Lepisosteus oculatus: one gene and its partner. The protein of the gene in region 1 binds, or shares a complex with, the protein of each later gene. Links are inferred from orthologs where the notes say so. Each region holds a gene or a part of one and is shown on either strand. Other genes may lie near its edges.

Evidence for each region. The genes of interacting proteins can lie anywhere in the genome.
Region 2: bcas2 (region 1) and ctnnbl1 share a complex: the UniProt entries of both Homo sapiens proteins name them as parts of the PRP19-CDC5L splicing complex. The link is inferred for Lepisosteus oculatus from reciprocal best matches to the Homo sapiens genes BCAS2 and CTNNBL1.

Annotation. Positions count from the first base shown.
Region 1 is NC_090700.1:32,450,485-32,461,198, reverse strand, and holds the start of bcas2 (pre-mRNA-splicing factor SPF27), read right to left. Parts: upstream 4,400-10,714; 5' UTR 4,379-4,399; coding exon 4,286-4,378; intron 2,923-4,285; coding exon 2,830-2,922; intron 2,235-2,829; coding exon 2,164-2,234; intron 1,566-2,163; coding exon 1,404-1,565; intron 1,112-1,403; coding exon 1,061-1,111; intron 96-1,060; coding exon 15-95; intron 1-14. UniProt on the Homo sapiens protein: Required for pre-mRNA splicing as component of the activated spliceosome. Component of the PRP19-CDC5L complex that forms an integral part of the spliceosome and is required for activating pre-mRNA splicing.
Region 2 is NC_090711.1:14,928,574-14,938,977, forward strand, and holds the start of ctnnbl1 (beta-catenin-like protein 1), read right to left. Parts: upstream 5,394-10,404; 5' UTR 5,247-5,393; coding exon 5,217-5,246; intron 1-5,216. UniProt on the Homo sapiens protein: Component of the PRP19-CDC5L complex that forms an integral part of the spliceosome and is required for activating pre-mRNA splicing.

The sequences.
Region 1 (10,714 bases):
GCATGGGTACTGACTTGGACTCCAGCTCCCGCAGTTTTGCGCCTCCCGTCAGCTGCTCGTTCTTCCTCTGCCAGTTCAGATCCTGAATCTGCTTCCTGAGATGGGGAGGAAAAATGCAAAATTACATTCAACACAAATCAACACTGCTGAACGATGTTCCCTTTTTGATGGGATGGCACGTAAGAGCAACAAAGTTAGGCTTTTACACTTTGACTTAGACAAGCACCAGATTTCTTAAAACACAATGTAGAAATCACTCTACATTCAACCACCAGAAATGTTTTGATTCAAATCCAGACTAAGCCAAGTTGTGTTTCGGCTCAGTTCCCCTTCACAAGCCCAGGGAGTGAAGAAGTGCTGTCCTGCTCTGCTGTGAACCTCCTTCCTTCCCACATTGGGGACTGGAGGACTCCTGGTGGTCCTCAAAGGCTGAGCTGTTTAAAACCTGAAAATGTTTCAGCCAAAACAGGAAGCTCAACAAGCATTTTCTGCAGTCACAGATGAAAATGGCTATACTGGATGATCTGTTGCTTTGATTACAGAACAGTAACTACAGAAGACAGAACATTGGATCAAATCCAAGTGCCTTATGAAGACCTGAAAAGCAGTTGAAAAGGGATGGGTAACAATCTGTCTGTTACAATTCCTTGAGAAATATCCAAAAGTGAGCTCTGTAATAAAAATGACTTCATATGAAAGCAGCACAAACATGCTTTTAGATACAACTGCTCATCAGGATGGTTACAAGAAAATCTGTGAGTTGTGAGAATGAATTTATAGTATTTCATGCTGCTATCTATTTTTTCCATACTGACATGGTAAGATTTGTTCAAAATGTATCATTTGGACACATGAACAAGCTGTTTTGACTCATTCTTCAGTTTTTTTCCCAAACCATACGATTTAAGTACAATGTTTTGCATTTCATTCCGTTATTCAGTGTTGCCATGGGTAACAATGTTAAATAACCCAACCAGTATAACACTTTTTTTATACTACCACTGAAGGAGACGTCACAGGTGCAACAGGATAAGGAGAGACAATAAAATAAGGGCCTCACCTCAATCTCTGCAGCTCCTTCTGAGACATTTCAATCATGTGCAGCAGGTCTCTGTAAGAAAAAACACATACAAGTGATCAAAAAGGTCACATCACTGGTATGTTGCAGAATGAGAAGAATGAAATGTAAAGTTTGTCTCGTTAGTGCTGGAAAAGGAAGCGAGGATTGAAAGAGAGGATGTGAAAGAGAAAATAAGTGAGGAGGATGTGATAAACTCTACACTCCTCTCTCTCCTGCTCAGGCGTGATAGTCAGTCCCCAGCCTGTTACGCTCTCTACCGCCCTCTTGGATTTAATATACAAAATAGAAGGTTTTACAGCCCTTGTTTCGCATCATCACTCACTCATTGTAGACCTTCCAGGCATTGCTGCCATACTGGGACATGAGCTCCAGGTTCTCGATCCGCACTGCTTGGTGCTCCAGCTGGGCCATTGAGTTATTGACGCAATCCTGCCAGGCTGTGATGTCATTCTTCTGACCCGAAGAGGGAGCGGGCAGCTCGTACCTGTCCAGATCAAACAGGGTCATGGCTTCAGCACAACTGCACTCAAACCCTTGGCCTGATTAGACATTCCCAACAAACCCACAAGCAAGGTAACAGAAATGAAGTATTAGAAATATAAACGGCTTACAGAGGCTGAAAAACAACAAGTGAAAAAGAAAATAAAAATAATTGTGAAACCTCAAACGAAACTCATTTGAGGAGTTTGATACCTTGCGAATATTGCTTAACAGCAAACTATTTTGTTAATGAAGCAAGGAATATAAACAGTGATATCAAGTCATTCGCTACTGATTTAAAGAAACCAATAAAAACTGTAGAAGAGTGGCCTGCCAGTGCACACCTATCCTTACTGCTGACATGTACCAAGGACATGGAGAGGATGTGGGGAAGCCAGTACTGTATACAAACACATTCTGAATTGATGCTCTTCTCCTTACCAGACCATATACAGGGAGCCTGAAGTTTCAATTGAAAAAGCATAAATTCTTATAAAAAAAAAAATTAAAGAGCAAGTTTTCAATGTATAACCAAAACGTTTTCTGCAGGATGACCACAGGGAAAAAAAATCTAAAGCATAGGTGTCCAAATGAAACAGTACCTCTTCATGCTGAGGAGCTCCATAGGCTGTCGGGCTGCTAACCTCTCAAACTCGTTGCGCATTATTTCGGTCTGTTGAGAGAAGAGAATTAGACAATAATTCTCTGCACCAACATGACCATGGCACTGCAGTATTCTTAACCAGGCCAGGCTATTCTTTATCACTTCTGTTTCATGGTGCCTCTTGCATCAAAACAGCCAGAAAACTTATTTCAGAATATACCAGAGAGAAAACAAATAAAGGGCAAAGAGTTTAAATAATGTAACAAAGTGAGAGCTTTAATTGTCATCTAATGCACACTCGATGACAGGGATGAAAGTTGCAAGAGATGTAGCCAACAAAAGCCTTCCCAATATAAAATTCTTGCGACTCTCACAAAACTTTCATCCCATTTTATAACAAATGGGATAGATCTCATTAGACCTTACAACCTTCAGGCAAAGATAACCCAAGAATTTGTTTTTCTTACTACAAGGCAAAGAGATGCAACCTTGGCAGGGAAGAGAATAGCTAATGGAGGTGCTCCACCAAGGGACCATGTAGAACAGTCTTCCCCTTTTCCACTGAGCCCCCAGCAGTCACATTTCAGTTAGTCTGGAGTCAGCAACAACAGCATGCTGGTGTGGGCCTGCAGTGCTCCAGCCTCAACGGGGGTCGTACACTCACCTCAAATGCAGCGAAGTCTGGTGTGGGAAGATAACTCAGGTAATTTTTAGTGGGTCTGTACCTGCGGGTTTCCTCTTCCACCAAAGCAGCGGCCTGAGAAGACAAGATCATTCAGAACAGTCACGCCACTTTCCTTATACCCAACCTTGTCACCAGGACGACGCAGAATGACTCGGCACTACTCCAGGACCATGGAATACAGAACACTCTCTTTATCAGGTAACCCCAAGCATGGCACGACAGAACACAATCATAAGCACACTGTCCTCCAGGCAGCGGCACTTCATCATGTTTTCTCATTTCACATCATGCGTTTCTGCACTGGAACTCAGTATTTCTTCAAGCAGCAAGTTAACAGCCCGTATCACTAATATTATACAACTACACACAACCAATGGAGTGGAGCACATTCCTCTTCACTTTACCTTTGTGCTACTTTTTTATGCCCTAGCCCGCCCTGTCATGGTTCAAAAGCCATGCGACACCACCGAGAACAGCCCATGGAAACTTGATCGAAAGCGTTTTTACATACTAGTCTCACTTGTTGGCTCGGCAACATCGATACCGCAAATTGTAACAGGTAGGGGAAATCAGTAAAGATAAACGGCAACATAATTGAGGAAAATCAGATCAACCTAAATGCCTCCAACTCCCAGAGTGTGCCCCCAGGTGTAAAAGTAATAGAATTTATCTTTTATACTCACTGCAAACTCTCTTGAAAACAATTTGGAAAGCAATTCCAAAGTAATTCTTATCTCCTGTACCATTTCCTCTGCTGGTAATTTTTATCTTCCTTATTTTATTGCTATACTGAACACATTTCTCTCAAAAGATAATAATAAACAAAGAGAAATAAAGAGAGGGTTGTAAAGAAAGTTAAGAGCATCATGGAGTGTGTGACACTACTGTCAATAGCCTATGGACACTTTTTAAAGTATTTTTATATCCTGTCTCACTTGATGAAACGGCATTCACACTCCTCCATCTTGGAGATGCCTCTGCAATAGACCCCCTATGCACTCCCAGACAATAGAAACGTTGTTTCTATTCTTCTATTTCCTAGCATGGAATAAAGCTTTGCTTGTTCTAATGTCAAATAACTCTTTAATCTTGAAACACTTGTCCTGTATTACTTGTTGTTCTGTTTCTGTTGTATTGTTGTGTCGTAAAACAAATGTCGCCCTATACAAATATAACAACAATATAAAGAAAATAGAGCTTGAATGCATGGAAAAAAACAACTTAAGGGAGGGAGTGGCAGGTTTCTGTATGTTCTGGACGAGCACTTGCTAACCATCTATAACTTATAGCATAAGCTCAAACCATTCTTGGAGATGGCACTGGAGACAATGCGTGCCTGCCTCTAACCACGAATGACTGATCGGCTTTCCTCAACTGCTCCAGCAGCTGCTAGAACCAAGTCTTTGAAATTACAATTCAAGCACACAGTTCTTACCGCCTCCCGGACACCAGGAGCATCGTAACCCTGGTCAAAATAAGGTAAAGCGTCCACAAAAACTTCACCGGCCACAGAACTGGTCCCCGCCATGTTGCTTACACACTCATTCAAATACGCATGTGCCCGTCTACGTCATGATGTACTGTTGCACCGCAAAGTATGGAGTATAAGCGCCGGTCAACATTTTGGATAATCCCTAAAATGTGATTCGCAAAGAACAGAGTGATAATTAAAACCTCTTTGAAAAAAGTATGAACACAATTTTCAAAGGAGAAAAGGTTACATAAAGAGATTGTACGTTTTACAATATGTGGAGCTGGTGCTGAGTTGGAGCTCTGCAGCTATACAGTAATAAAACGTGAGGACATAAGAAATACACTAATTTCTAACGATTGCAACAGTGAAAGCAAGTAAATAATTACAGCATAGAATTCAGATGGGATTCCTATACATAGCAAATTCCAACAACATGACAAGAAACTGAAGAATAGGACAAAATCAGTAATTCTACCAGCATTGGGCAAAGATGAACATGTACAAGCGTTAGTCCTTTAAAATCAACACAAGGATGAGTACAAGGAGTACAGAAGACGATTCTGGGGGCACTGGAAATCTTTCCATGGTAAAGGACATCTGCACAGAGCTGGGCATCAGTCGTCTTGGTAAAAGAATCCACGAAGAAATTCTGAAACATTTAAACTAGAATAAAAGAGGAGAGAAACCAAAGAAAACATGACGTTACTTAGGGAGCAAAGACCTAGAGAGAACCAAAAGGAAAAACAGAGAAAATAATCAGGCAATTAAGTGCTTATGCCTTAATGCTCGGACTATCAAAAACCAATGAGATGAGATAGAAGCTACTACATTAGCAAGAAATTATGATGTTATTAGAATCAGAGAAGGGTGGCATGGAGGCACAGTGGTTAGCATTGCTGTCTCACAGAGCGGGGGCTCTGGCTTCAATGCCGGACCTGTGGTGCTTACTACATGGAGTTTGTATGTTCTCCCCATGGTTGTGTGGATTTTCTACCACATTCTAAAGACATACTTGTAGGTTAATTGACTGGGAAAATTGGACTTCGGTGCGAGTGTGTGTCTGTGTTTGTGTCTTCCTGTGGTATGGACTGGCATGTACGGGTCTCCCTTTCGGAGCATATCCTACCATGTGCCTGTTGCTTGCTGCAATAGGCTCTTGCTCCCCTGTGACCCTGAACTGAAAGAAATGGTTAGAAAATGGATGGATGGAATCACAGAAACTTGGCAAACTGAAAATGATGGAGAATCATTCATCTAATTCTGGTCTCCTGTCTGTCCTCCAAGCCCATCTACATTCTATGAGCAGACCCTTTGGAATTATCTATATTCCTGCATTAATTGCTCCTAAAGTGTGATCTGAACTTCATCTAGTCATACTAAATAAACACATTCTGATTAAATTACACACAAACAATTGTACTTTTTCCATGTCTTTATTGAAATCTTTATGTAAGCATTCAGTCAATGCTGAAAAATGTATGTGGACCTCCAGGATAATGACCTATGTTAAAGGGGATATGACATTCAGATGTGCATATGAGGTGCCGTGGCCTCTAAAAAACCTCACAAAGTTTGGTTATCAACAGAGTGTGCTCTTCAGAACAAAGAATTGTTGAACAGTAATGGGTACAGATATAATAAAAAGAAAGATACAGATAAGGGTTGAATACTCAAATTTGGGGTGATGTAATTTGAGGACTATCACACAGATTTGAACTAAAACCCCTGTCCTTCTTGGTTTTTATCAATGGTCTATAATTAATTGTCAAATTTGCAGATGATTAAAAATTAGATTTAGCAACCACTGCAGAAACAGTCAATTAAATTCAAAAATATTTTGATAACACCTGGCATGTGTAACGCAGTGCAGGTTTCTGCATGCGAGCAGTAAAAATAAACTATAAATGCAAAATGGGAAACATTTTGGGAAGCTAGAAGAGGGTATTTATGGAAAAAGTCTTAAGTGTTCATGTTGATACATTATTTACAATACATCTTCCAGACAACATAGGAAAGCAAGCAAACGTGTAGTATATACAGTTAAAAGCTTTGAAAATGAATAAAGGGATTTTACATTAAAATCTGATTGGGGTATGCTAGTGTAGCGACGAGGCTTATTAAAATACAGGAATTAAGTTTTCTGCTCCCTTGCCAGTGAGGCCCCATCTCTCTCTTCATCTCTGTGGTGCAGCCACAGAGAAGCTATTCATGCAGGCTGATTTAAGGTTTCTTTTGATAAGGGACAGCTCCCAAATGGGGATGCACTTAGCTAAGCCTGGCTATCATGATCAATGGTCATCCATTGGCGCCTATCTGTCTAGGGAGTGCCAGATGGACATCTGGATTGCATTCCTAAGTGTCAGGAGTAAGTGACTCATATCTCACCTTGATCAACCAATCAGGAACTGGTAGGGCCGAGTAACCCACGTGGGTCTCTGATGCCCATGAAACTTTCAGCCAATGAAGAACCTGAAGTTCCTCCAGGTAAAAACAGGCAACACAGAGAGCCTGAAGGAGAATTCCAAAAAGAAGAATTCCAGGGGGAAGAACAATTCCAGGGCAGGACGGCCCAGGAGCAGAAAGGCTCCCAAGGGCAGGACATTCTCACAGTGCGCCTCCTGAACATCCTTAGACTCAGCCTGGACCACCACAGAACGGCCAGTGTGTCTGAGTGCCAGAACTTTCCTTTGTTCTAAGAGTCGAGAGCGGAGGTTGCCACGAGTAACCAAAGGATCCACCCGAGGTTACCACCAGCAGCAAGCCTCGTGAACAGGTCGGAACTGTGGACAGCTGAATCAGTATTCAGAACTAGTGCTTCATCACGAACGAACCGGTCCTCTTCCTGACCCGCTGGGACCCACAGTAACTTTTCTCCTGTGCACAACTTTGCCTGTTAAAGCTAACACTAACTAGCGAGTCTTCAGAGAGCAGCACATCGCAGGAACTTCTCTCAAGCCACACAGCATAACCTGGCATGGAGCCAGAGATCGCGGATTGGACAGTAACAAGCCTGCAACTGTTTCTTTGTGCCTGCAGGAGATCTGAATCCCCAGAGATTGGATGAGTATTCAACTTCACTGCATTACAGCTCGAGAATTCAATTGTTATCCCAACCAGTTGATATAAATTTAATTCCTAGGAGTTATGTACTTGTTTCGAGTATCTAATGTAGAAGTTGTAACCAAGTTTATTTACGAAACGGTCTAAATGAATGATATACCGAACGTATGTCCTCTTGGTATGTGTAACTCTTTGTAACTGAATGAATATATACATATATCTTTGTATTCTGATGACCCTCACGATAAGATCTGTTAGGTTTAAATGCATAATCTATGTATTAATAAATGTATCCTCGTGTATTAGTACCTGTGTGTGTGCGCGTTGTTTGAGTTACACCGCATGGTTGGATTCTAAGGCCATTAAAATAATCATTTTGTGACTTACTGCCACAATTAATAATTGTCCCAGTAAATGCCCAAACCCCTACAGAACTGGTGCCTCGTGAGAGCACACTACACTAGTAAGGCCTCATGTAGGCCATGCAATTTGGTCAGTGTCATATAAAAGATATTGCCCTGAAATCAGTAGGGACACATAAATGTTCACATAAATGGTGAACAAAATACTTGGATCACTTAACTACTAACAAAAGCTAGATGGGCTGAATGACCTTCTCTTTTTGAAAACTTTCTGTCTTTCTTGGGGAACTGTTTTCAGTATTGGTTTACTGTGTCATTTTATCAATCCACATTTCAGGGTACCTTCTACTTTGTACCACAACCCCATTCCTGCAAGACTGTTTCACACTGCATCTGCTGGGCAGGGCAGTGCTGCCGATGATGTGTGGGATGGAAAAATGTGACAAGGGAAAATAAATAAATTAACCCCCACCCCCCAAAAAATATCTGTAACCTAATAAAAAGCACTTGCTACAGTACACAGTACACTGAGGACATGCATTTTGTCTGGAGTCAGTAATTCAATAAAGCTCTGAACTGAGGTATGTACTGTACATAATGTTTATTTTGGGGAAACTTCTACAGACATCATTGTTAAAACATGTAAAACTGTACAGAAACTGGGAGTTCCAGGATGCAAAGACAACAACAGCTCATTTCTGGTTCTGGCTTTAAAAAGTTTAAATATAAAAACATGTCCAGGTAACATGTTGTCCAAGATATCCTGAAGACAAAACATACAGTATGTTAATGCAAGACACACAAAGCACTTAATTTATTCCACTTAACCATTTGGTCAACCGAATGGAAGCTTTCAAAGTTTCTCTTTTTTTCCAAAGCAAGCTGTCTCAGACACAGACTTCTCAAATGCACATTTCTGGTCCCGACTTGTTTTACATTTTCACAAGCTAGGAAGTGCCAAGTCGAAAAAGTACAGTTCAGCACAGTTTCGTTTACTGCAGAAAGTGGGGGTGTTCTTGATAAACACAAGACAGATAAAGGCAGGGAACGAGTGGTAAAAATGAATTAAAATTACATTTATAATCACTTTTCACTACAATAAATGCTTTTTGTATCACATATAGATCCATTTTCCTTTAACTAGGGAATTGGAAAATGTTTTATACATATTTGTGCAACACACAGTAGCACGGTGAAGGAAGAGAGCTGCAAATCTCAAACAACAACACTTGTTGTCACAGAGAGCACAGAAGAAACTACAGCTCCCGGGTACCTCTGTGGTCGCTTGACAAGGCATCAAGGGTGTCACAGCCAATATGTAACACAAAAAGGAAATTCCTGTCAGTTCCTGTTCTGGCTGTAGGACAGGGGTTCCCAGCCTTCACACACCTGCTGTTTTTTCTCCCCACTTGAGTATTCCAATAATTGAATTGTCAAATTTGAACTCTTTAATTGTTTTCAGTTCCAAAAAATATAAAACCTCCAAAGTTCAAATCAAATAACTGGTCAGTTCACTTAATGTTTAATTTAAATAAAAAGCTAATCAACAATGATAAACCAGCAGGTATGTTAGTCTCCAGGAGCATGTCAGGAGAGTGCTTTGGCATCTGAGATGTCTTTTCTGCTCCCTCTGTCAGCCTACACTGGCACAGCAGCAATTTATGGTTTAAATGCTCATGGTTCTTCAACCATTTAATTCAAGAAACATTCAAGGGAAAAACAAAGGAGACATCGAACATTTAAATATTTTTATGCTGCAAGCCACAATCAATAATCGTCCTCTTTTCATGGGATCTTTTAACATTTAAGAGAAAGTACAGTAGCGATTTCCTGGGAACTTCCTGGGAACTTCTAAAAATGGGATGCGATCTCTCTCACAAGAGTACACGAGCAAAGACTTCTGGCTGACAAACAGCACTTTTCTACATTATCTGAACTTAGGGGAATGTTACAACACTGCCATTTTGTTTAACAAACCGGAACTGAATGTCTTTCCGCACTAGTTCGCAACTGCTGCACGTTTATACATAAGAGATTATCAGGTCACCTTATTGCAGCATTTTTTTAATGTCCTAGACAAATTAAATAAAAGGTTATAGAAAGCGACCCCATATTTCCCCTAAACGTTACAAGTCCAATAGTGTTTTTTGTTCCCCCACCATTTAAACAGTGGACACCCTGTACAGGTTTGTCATATACAGTAGGTCAGTTGTGTATAGTGAGACAGGAGTGTATATTTCAGATCTCATCAGATACATTCCCTTGGAGCTAACTTGATGTTATGCAATTCAAAGGATATCCTTTAACTTACTTCTGTTTTGCTTTCATTATTTCAATGAAATTCAGTGAAGCATAATTCTATCTTACTAGAACAAGTAGGGGTTAATTCATTTCTGACATATTAGAAAAAATACAATAAAAACACGACTTCTGCTGTGGAACATTTTTAAGTGACCCATTGTTGCCCAATGTCCAAACAATGTCTCATTGATCCCTAGCCTATAAAAGGTGGACAAGAATGAGGTATCTTTCTAAAACCCATACCATATTGTATTATAGGCGGCTTTTATTACAATTGGCCATTGAGGGGTTCCCACTATACTGTACATTACACACAGGCTGGCAAGAAACTAAATGAACTTTATATGAACTCTCTTCCTCAAATTCCAAAAATCATAAAGTGCAGAACTAACAAAGAGTCAACATGACTATGGATGAAATGAGTGAAGTTATTTCTTTCTTTACATAAAATTATATTTAGAATGATTTTGTCTGGAATTAGGGGGGGAAGAGTGAATTCTGTACTGAAATAAGAAATAACTATGAAAATTATCATCCATATTCTGGCCTGTATGGAACAAATACTGTGCAAGGAAATACAGCATGGAACAAATACTGTGCAAGGAAACCACCATAACATGATTTAAAACTAGCAGGTTCCTTTAAGTAAACCATTGGTAGAGTGGAG
Region 2 (10,404 bases), on another chromosome or scaffold:
GCACAAAGATTACTTTGTAAATCCAAATTTTAAAGCCCTCTCACACACGGAGTGTTGAATTTCAAGCACTTTTCTACATTGCATGCAGCTGGAAATACAGAGGAAATCAGCACAAAGACAGTTGAGAAGGGCACGCTGTGCTGCCGACCATCGCACTGTTGTCTCTCAGAAAGCAACGATGCCCAATGAATGCCTTGCACAACACTAAGCAAATGCCAAACTCTTATCACAAAAAGAGAAAGCACAAGCAAAATAGGAAGCAAGCTTAAGTCACAAAGTTAGGAAGCAAGCAGCCAACTCATTAGAAAGCAATTTTACATTCAATTTTCATTTTAATATGTCTGCAAACAGTGCAATCAAGGTTTCATTTCCAAATGGTATTGCAGCTCAGACAAAGCCTGGAGGCCCAAGATAGCACACTCATGACTGCCGACATTATTTAGGAACCATTAATAACATGGTTACATTTGAAAGAAAATGGACTTTTAGAACAATATGTTCCAGTGAAGAATACAAATTTAAAACAGATGAAAAAAAGTAAATACTGCACATCTATAGACACTGCAGCCATTCTTAGTTCATACTTAATTTGCATATTTAAGAAATGTCACTTTATTGACTCTTTGTGTTTGAGGACTTTATTATAGAAAATGCCATTGTACAGTAGCTGTCCCCTTCCCTTATGTCCCCCACGTTTTTCATAAGTAGAGATGGACCGATGAGCGTTTTGTGAGGCCCATACCGATCGTCACTTTCTGTCAGGTGGTTGGTGTGTTACTATCCAGCCAAAGACACAAAAGATGGTAGAAACTTACATTGTTTTACTAACAAGTAAGACAATGATTGTTACAACCACCCACATGAAGTAACAAGCTGCAGTCTAACAGTTCTTTTATCCAATTAAGGCAAAAGGCCATAATCTGAAAAGTATTTCCAACCTAGATAGTATGGCTCTAGGTGAGATATCAAGCAGTAGAATCCTACATCTTCAATAACCGAAAATGGCTGGTTATCTAGCGCAATAAATTCCATTATTTTGGTCGTGATTCCTTTTGCTTTCGGGCCATTGCTGTTATACTTTTGCTGTTATCTCTCAAGTGTCGCCTGCACTGACGGTTGTCTTAACGTCGGTGTAGCTTTATCCGTTTTTGCTAGCTATGCTAGTTTCTGATACTCACTGTACTTGGGCAGGTGATGTGCTCTCAAGTGTTGTGTCAGGTTAGTTGTATTAAAATTCTTTGTGTTGCCCCTGCCACGAGAAAGGTTAGTTTTACAAACATATTGGCTTGACCTGGAATGAAAACTGCCAGACGGATGATATGTTTTCATTCCAAGGCACACGCCGGTCACATATTTAGAATGGAAATCTGCCGATTCCGATCTATAGCTAATCGATCCTTCGACCCCTGTTCATAAGCTTCCAAGATCTTTTATTTTAAGGCCTTAAACAAGTATAGTTTAGAACTATCAATGCTAACTTGATAAAACAGTCCATTAGCAATTAGGAACCTGAAATGAAAGTCTACAGAAAGAAAACCACTATTGTGCAACAATCAGTTAAAATACTTTGGTGAACGCATATAGAGATTACACAGAAAACCTAATCTTTCTTTTTGTTCAGTCTATCTATAGCCCAAATGATCCCAAAGCCTTATCAAGTATTTTATTGACAAATTCTAATGAGGCAACATGCACACAATACAACAGCAAATTCCAGCAGCCACAGCTCTTTGTAAATAGATTCATACTATATATTCTGAATCTAATCTAATTTCCACTCATTCCTCGGCTTTAGCAATGAGATTCATGTTTGGTGTCACTTTATCAAGTATTCAGAATATCATATCTTACTAATATTTTTCAGCACATGCTAAGATGACTGTAACTCTCTTCATCTTACCTTCTATTTCGATTACTTTTAATTTCAAGTATTTGTCTCTAGACCAGTGTATCTCAAACCATAGTCCGTGGATGCCAAACATCCTTGAGGCTACAAGGCTTCAAGTGGGGTCTACAAAATAAAGACAAAGTATAAAGAATCCCACCTTGTCAGAGTGGCCTAACAAAAGTGACTAAGCTGCTATTTCTGTTTACATGGTGGTGTAGATGGTCCGTAGTCCCCAACCATCAACATAATAAAATCTTACTGCTTTGTGGCACGAAACGAGCACTGAACTCGGATTTTGGCAGGGGAATACTGAAGAATTTTTTTACAGAAAGTGAGTCAATGGCATACAAAACGAACAGGTTTTTAAAACATCCCCAAACTAATGCATAAGCACAGAGCATAGAGTCTTCCCATGCACAGGACATCAATCCAGAACGTAGTCAACGAGAAAAAACAAAGACCACAATTCCAGAAAACGCTCTGAAAGCATCTATGAAAGCAAGTTCTCTGGGCTGCTAAAAGTTAAAAAAAAAATCCCACACCATTGGAGAAAAATACTCTTCCAGCTGCTGTGAAAATGTGTGAAGTAGTGGTAAGCAAAGTAAACTGAGGCTATAGCACTTTCTAACGACAGTAGGTAAGCAAACTGTCTGAGGAGCTGTCAAATGATGCAGAATGCCAGCTCACTAAAAGACAAACGTGAACAGTTTATACTTCAGTCTGATGAGGCAACGGATGGTGGTGATGCAGTGAAATGACTAGCTTATATTTGACTGGGGGGTAAAAAAGAAAATCCTCCAAGACTGTCAGATGTTACCAGAACAGACTGCTGAGGAAATGCTGAAATTGCTGGATGATGTTGTGAAAGCTGAATCACTGAAAGGGAGACATGCTGCTGTTTACACTGACAGTGCCACTGCTGTAACAAGTAATATATAGGAGTGGAGTTACAGGAGGAACAGCAGCCATCAGCCACTGGTGATGTAACTGTGTGAACACCTCCAGTCTCTTGCATGAAAGGAAAACATGTCCCAAATGACATGACATGACACATGAAAAGCTGCTGTCCATCTGGGACTCTCGGGGGTTCCTCTGGGGTAAAGTCGCCTGGCTAGCTTTTATCTGAAACCCACGATTTTGTCATGATCACTTTTGTAACCCTCATCCTCAGGTGATCAAGTCTCCTCCTTCTTCTCTTTCAGAAATTGACTCACGTTTTTAAAAAAATGGGCAATTTAAAATGCATCATGAAGACCCTATATTTAAAATCCTAATTGTAAAGCAACTCTTCACACTACCCATGAAACTGTTAAAATACAGCTAAGGTGGCTGCCATCAAATTTGGTCTGTCTGACACTGGGAGGGGTTGTTTTCTCATTTATTCTTCATTACACACATTTTACAAATATGTTCAATATCTATTAATGTGATCTACTACTTCACATTTATCGAAAGTTCCAGACTCTCTGCCACCATTATGTGTTCCTGTAATGCACCGATTCCTGCACTGATATGCAAAACAAGCTTATTTTCTTTTTGGTGCAGAACTGGAAATAGGTTACAAGCCAAATATGTCTCCAACATAAATCTTAAAATAACTATTGGAATTCAGCTTATCCTCATAACACATCTATGCACTATAATGGGTCTTTCGGCTCTTTATTAGACCTTCTCTAATGCTTCCTGATCTCCTTCCTAAAGTGGTGAACAGGACTGTATGCAGTAAAACAATGGGGACCTCACTAATGCATTGCAGAGTTTCTACATAACTGCTTTTGACTTGCTAGGTAGCCAAGCATTCTGTTTGCCTTTTGTTAAGAGCTTATGTGAAAAGATTAGACACAATAATTTTACAAATTTATGAGGTGTTTTTCTAATTCTGCACCTCTCATGGTAGAATGAAGTCATATACTCTTCTTACGTATACACAACACTCTATGCTGACTAATAATGAATTTAATTCTTTATTTTATTATCTGATGAGACATCTGCCTTCATCTGATTTTACACAGCGCTTCTTATTATCTCCTGATCATCTTTGTGAATGATATCATTGATTTCTAAGAACCCTTGGGTTTACACGATCTGGATTCATTCCATTATGATTTTTTACTAATACTTCAATTTCTAATACTTCCAATTTATATTATAAAGTTATGAATGTGTATATTGTGTTTTGTGATAATGATCATAACTGCAAAACCTTCTGAGCAAGGCCCTTAACCCAAATTACTGCAGGGGCTCTGACCCCAAGCTTCTCTCTCCCTGTCTGTGTCTGTATCTCATGGAGAGCTGGGGTATGTGAAAAGACAAATTCCTAATGCAAGAAATTGTATAGGACTAATAAAGTGATGTTATGTTAAACATTTCTTTTACTACTAACAACAGACCAAAAAAGCGTTTGGGTTTTGTTTTTGCTTGGATGAACTCATCCTTTCAAGTTGGCCATTCAGGTTCCTTTTTTTCAAGGCAGATGGCATTTTACAATATTTCTTTATTTATAATCTCCAAGCTGTTATTAATCACATTTAACAGATATGTCATTCATGTTGGGGATGCTTCAGTGATTTTGTTTATCTTTGAAATATTCTCTTACCACGTTATTATTAATAATAATTATTTTAAATCTGTCTTAATTGTCAAAGTAATTGGTATGTCCAATTTATGTCCTGAAGACCCTGTTTTATTTGGTCTTGGGTGTTCGATGGTTGTGGACAAATCATACCATTGAAGCACAAAGCAACTCTTCTTTACTTTATATCCTTACACTTTTACTCTCCCTCACTCCTGAAGGCTCCTCAATAACTGAAATGAGATTTCAAAGACTTCGACTGATTATAATTGATCATCTCTGACAATTCTTATAATGTATGTATACTACCAGAAGTAACTACCGGGGACGGTCAAGACCACGTACACCCAGTGTCAGTAAAAGAGAAATCAGGTAACACTCTCTCTGTGCTACCGTTCAGCCACATCAACATATTTTCCTTTGCTCAAGAGAAGAGAGACGGAAAAAAACAGTTAATTGAGAAAATATGCTAGACAGTGTCTGGAGCAAAGCACTTAAACGCAAACAAAACAGAACTAGTTTAAGCACCACATATAGCAATCACAATACCTTAATCTAAAAACAAAGACGCTGCACTTTTTTTCTAAACACACTGGAAATTGAACTTTTCTCAAAATACGTAAATACACACAAATTGTTCTTCCACAATGTATTTATTTACACTCAAGAAACGGTTCTACTCAGATACAAACCACGGCCTAGCGCTGTAAGTTCATTTCCGAACACGCGTAAACAAGTTATATATTATATATTTACCTGATAACTCAAAAGTTCACCTACATCCATGGTGAATACTTAAAAAACAACGAATAAGTCAACGTTCTTCTAAATAAACAAGTTTTAAATCCCACCGGCGAACTGAATCATCGATGCTCCAAGAAATTTTAAAAAGTACCACGCTGCCGTAAATCAAATTATCCCACTGACGCAAAATGCGTTTGTTGTGCGACAGACAGCGTTTGTGCCGTGAGTCAAAATGTACTGTACATTAGTTTTACTTGTACCGGTGAAAGGTTGATTTTTAACCTTTTATTTCCTAACGTTCTTGCGAAATTTTGGATTCTTATTTTTTGAAGAAAATTTCGGTAGTTTTTCGTACTTGTGCTCACTTAATAAATGCTTACACTATTAGCAATTTATAGGCAAATTAGGGTCCAGATTCACTAATCCTTTTGTACGCAGCAAATTGGCATCGTTATCATTTTTTCTTAATTGGTGCGATCTTATACCCAATTTAAACCTATTAGAGTAGCGATACGATCATTTTAAAAACATACAAAATGCCTTGATAAAAAGTGAGGGCATTAACATTTCTTCCTAAATTTGCTTAACCTGCTTTCGGACAATTAAATTATATGTCCTGCTCCAAAATACAATAATAAAAATGGAAGTAAAGCTGTCTTTTAATGCTGAAAAATAATTTATATTTTACAGCTACAAATGGGGTTCTATAAGTGATCATGCAATTTCTCACTCCGAATGAAACATTTCCCTTCATAATCATCTTGTATAACAGTCGGGTATACGCATCGGTACTCTGCCTGTCTTTCATGGATTTCATGGAGAAAAACATTACTAACATTAGTAACAGAACATTACTAACATGTCTAATCGTTCTCCATCCAGAAGGAGGTTTAAGTAAAAAAAAAATAGATGATTGTTTTAACTTTGTTTCCGTTTGAACTGGTTCTGAAAGACACCACGCAATCCTCCTGCTTATTTCTCTCTGCCTCACATTACCTAAATCTCATTTGTACTGCACCTTTTAAAGATGGTTCCAAAATCAGCACAATCTCTGGAAAGGGTGGATACAGAAGAAGCCGACATGATGTCCTCCCATCCAAAATAAACCACAGCACCCTTATACAGTAACTCATGCAGTAAAAATGAACAAGCTATTAGGACAAATGTTTTGGCCTGGGTGTCAGATCTATAGCAAGCAAATTCTATAGGTTTGTCCTCTAGTTTATTCTCTGTTTGTGGAATGTGCACTTTCTGCACATATTTCTGGTCATAGCAAATTCATGCCCTCATTTGAATGCGAAGTATTTTTATAAAAACCTTCAATTTTGTGAATAATACACAAAATAGATAGAACTTGAATGGAGAACTGTAAATATCACAGTGACTAACAACACTTGTATAAAACTCCTGAAACCCAGTAATACAGTATGTGCTTCAGACCAATATCTAAACTTAGTTTAATCCTCCATCTCATTTATATAATGAAGATATTCACAGGACTTAAAATGCAAGGAGCCTGGCTGTGCACTATGGAAACAAACTAGTTTTTTGTTTTCGATTCTTGTATCTCCTGCCTGTTGTCAGTGTAAGAACACTGTGCCAACACCGTGGCCTTACAGAAAGCACGAGAGGAAGGACGCGTCCTCTGGGGAACACAGATTCAAGGACACTCAGCAGTATGCTGTGAATTACAATAGCAATCTACTGGCTTATCACCTCGCGCAATTAAATTGTTTCTAGTTTTTTTCTCCTTTTTGTTTTTCTTTGAAAAGGGCTCTCCATTCACCACTCAATCCTGGACCCATGAAATGTATAGTCTCGCTCGGCGTTTCGAAAACACAGGCACATTGTTGACATGATGACTTTGAGATCTATAGAAATGCATAATGTGTATGAAAAAACTCCTCCATCAGCTTCCTTTCAGATGCCCCTTTCTGAAATATTGTTGTCGCATATTGTCAAGGACAGTGTATATTGATATTGGATTTCAATAGGTGTATTATTACAAATAATGTGTGATTGCACCCCACTAAAACTCATACATTCTCATAAATTCTGGTTTACAATATATCCAAGGGTATCAGTGAAGCTAATGACTAATCTCCCACTCAACCAAAACTAATATTACATTTTTGGTCATCATATTATATGAAAATGCCTGCTCCCTGGAAAACGTTTAAAGAAGGGAGACCACAAGTCTTGAATAAAGAAGATAGTATGGTGGATTGGACTCAGATATTTAAAATTAAGTAAAGGCTTTGATAAAATGTTAGTGACAATTGCTCTATGTCACAATCAAAACTGAAATGATAATGAGGGCTCAGTGTAAATTGATGACAGACAGACACATTTTTAACATGAAAGAGCAGAAGTGATCTACAGAAAACTATCACACTGACATGTTTTGTAACCAGCACTCAGAGAACTAGATAGCAATCATGCTATCTAGGCAAAGTACCCTATGCTTTTTAAATGCTTTATTTATGAGTAACAAAAAACATACAACAATAAGAAACATTAAATTAAATAAAGCATGCATACATGATACGAATTGACAGGGATAACCAATTACTTTCTAAAACTAATTTCACATAACTTTGGTTAACTTACTTATTTTAAATGTTCTGAATGGTTTTAATGTAAAATTCCATTTCTATTTTAAACAGATTAAAATTTGGAAAAGACTTTGTCAATTGCATTTTATGGCTATTGTATCCCCCCATAATCAGCATTAGCTTTCTTATTAATATACAATTTTGATCCATATGTGTGAGGGTAAAATAAAGCAGAGTGTAAGATTTTCTTTGTTTCTTTATTCATGTTAAAAAATAAATATTGATAATCTAATTTGAGTTTAAATATTGGATAATATTTGTTCAACAGGATAAATTCTAAGAATAATTTTAGATGACACTTCTTTAATTTCATTGGTAAGACAATACATACTTTCTGCTATTTTATATTATAATTTGAGATCCAATTAGTCTTTGCAGGTGGAATGTAATTGGTAAACATGTGTTCCTTATATAATTATTGTTACATTTCTTTTCTAAAATGTTAACACTACCCAACAAAACGCTAGGTGTTAATTTATTGGTTTAGTAATTATAGGTTCTGCAGTAGCCCCTAAAGAGAGTAATGATCCCCCTAAGGCTAGCATCAAATACTATTGTAAATTCTTTTGGCATAACTGAAATTTTAAAGATCCCCTGGCCATTTATCCATAAAAGTAATAATAATAATTGCTTACACTTATAAACCACTTTTCTGGACACACCACTCAAAGCCCTTTACAGATTATGGAGACTCCCCTCTACCACGACCAATGTGCAGCCCCACCTGGATATATACAGTGCCTTGCGAAAGTATTCGGCCCCCTTGAACTTTTCAACCTTTTGCCACATTTCAGGCTTCAAACATAAAGATATACATTTTTTATTTTATGTGAAGAATCACCAACAAGTGGGACACAATTGTGAAGTGGAACGAAATCTATTGGATTTTTGAAACTTTTTTAACTAATAAAAAAATGAAAAGTGGGGCGTGCAAAATTATTCGGCCCCTTTACTTTCAGTGCAGCAAACTCACTCCAGAAGTTCAGCGAGGATCTCTGAATGATCCAATGTTGTCCTAAATGACTGATGGTGATAAATAGAATCCACCTGTGTGTAATCAAGTCTCTGTATAAATGCACCTGCTCTGTGATAGTCTCAAGGTTCTGTTGAAAGCGCAGAGAGCATCATGAAGACCAAGGAACACACCAGGCAGGTCCGTAATACTGTTGTGGAGAAGTTTAAAGCCGGATTTGGATACAAAAAGATTTCCCAAGCTTCAAACATCCCAAGGAGCACTGTGCAAGCGATCATCTTGAAATGGAAGGAGTATCAGACCACTGCAAATCTACCAAGACCTGGCCGTCCCTCTAAACTTTCAGCTCAGACAAGGAGAAGACTGATCAGAGATGCAGCCAAGAGGCCCATGATCACTCTGGATGAACTGCAGAGAACTACAGCTGAGGTGGGAGAGTCTGTCCATAGGACAACAATCAGTCTTACACTGCACAAATCTGGCCTTTATGGAAGAGTGGCAAGAAGAAAGCCATTTCTCAAAGATATCCATTAAAAAGTCTCGTCTAAAGTTTGCCACAAGCCACCTGGGAGACACCCCAAACATGTGGAAGAAGGTGCTCTGGTCAGATGAAACCAAAATCGAACTTTTTGGCCACAATGCAAAACGATATGTTTGGCGTAAAAGCAACACAGCTCATCACCCTCAACACACCATCCCCACTGTCAAACATGGTGGTGGCAGCATCATGGTTTGGGCCTGCTTTTCTTCAGCAGGGACAGGGAAGATGGTTAAAATTGAGGGGAAGATGGATGCAGCCAAATACAGGACCATTCTGGATGAAAACCTGTTGGAGTCTGCAAAAGACCTGAAACTGGGACGGAGATTTATCTTCCAACAAGACAATGATCCCAAACATACAGCAAAATCTACAAAGGAATGGTTCACAAATAAACGTTTCCAGGTGTTTGAATGGCCAAGTCAAAGTCCAGACATGAATCCAATCGAGAATCTGTGGAAAGAGCTGAAAACTGCTGTTCACAAACGCTCTCCATCCAACCTCACTGAGCTCGAGCTGTTTTGCAAGGAAGAATGGGCAAGAATTTCAGTCTCTCGACGTGCAAAACTGATAGAGACATACCCCAAGCGACTTGCAGCTGTAATCGCAGCAAAAGGTGGCTCTACAAAGTATTAACGCAAGGGGGCTGAATAATTTTGCACGCCCCACTTTTCATTTTTTTTATTAGTTAAAGTTTCAAAAATCCAATAGATTTCGTTCCACTTCACAATTGTGTCCCACTTGTTGGTGATTCTTCACATAAAATAAAAAATGTATATCTTTATGTTTGAAGCCTGAAATGTGGCAAAAGGTTGAAAAGTTCAAGGGGGCCGAATACTTTCGCAAGGCACTGTAAGCCATATTGCACCAGTACACTCACCACACATCAGCTATCAGTGGGGAGAAGAGCAGAGTAATGAAGCCAATTCATAGATGGGGATTATAGGAGGCCATGACTGGTAAGGGCCAATGGAAAATTTGGCCAGGACACCGGGGTTACACCCCTACTCTTTTCAAGAAATGCCCTGGGATTTTTAATGACCACAGACCTCAGGATCTTGGTTTTACGTCTCA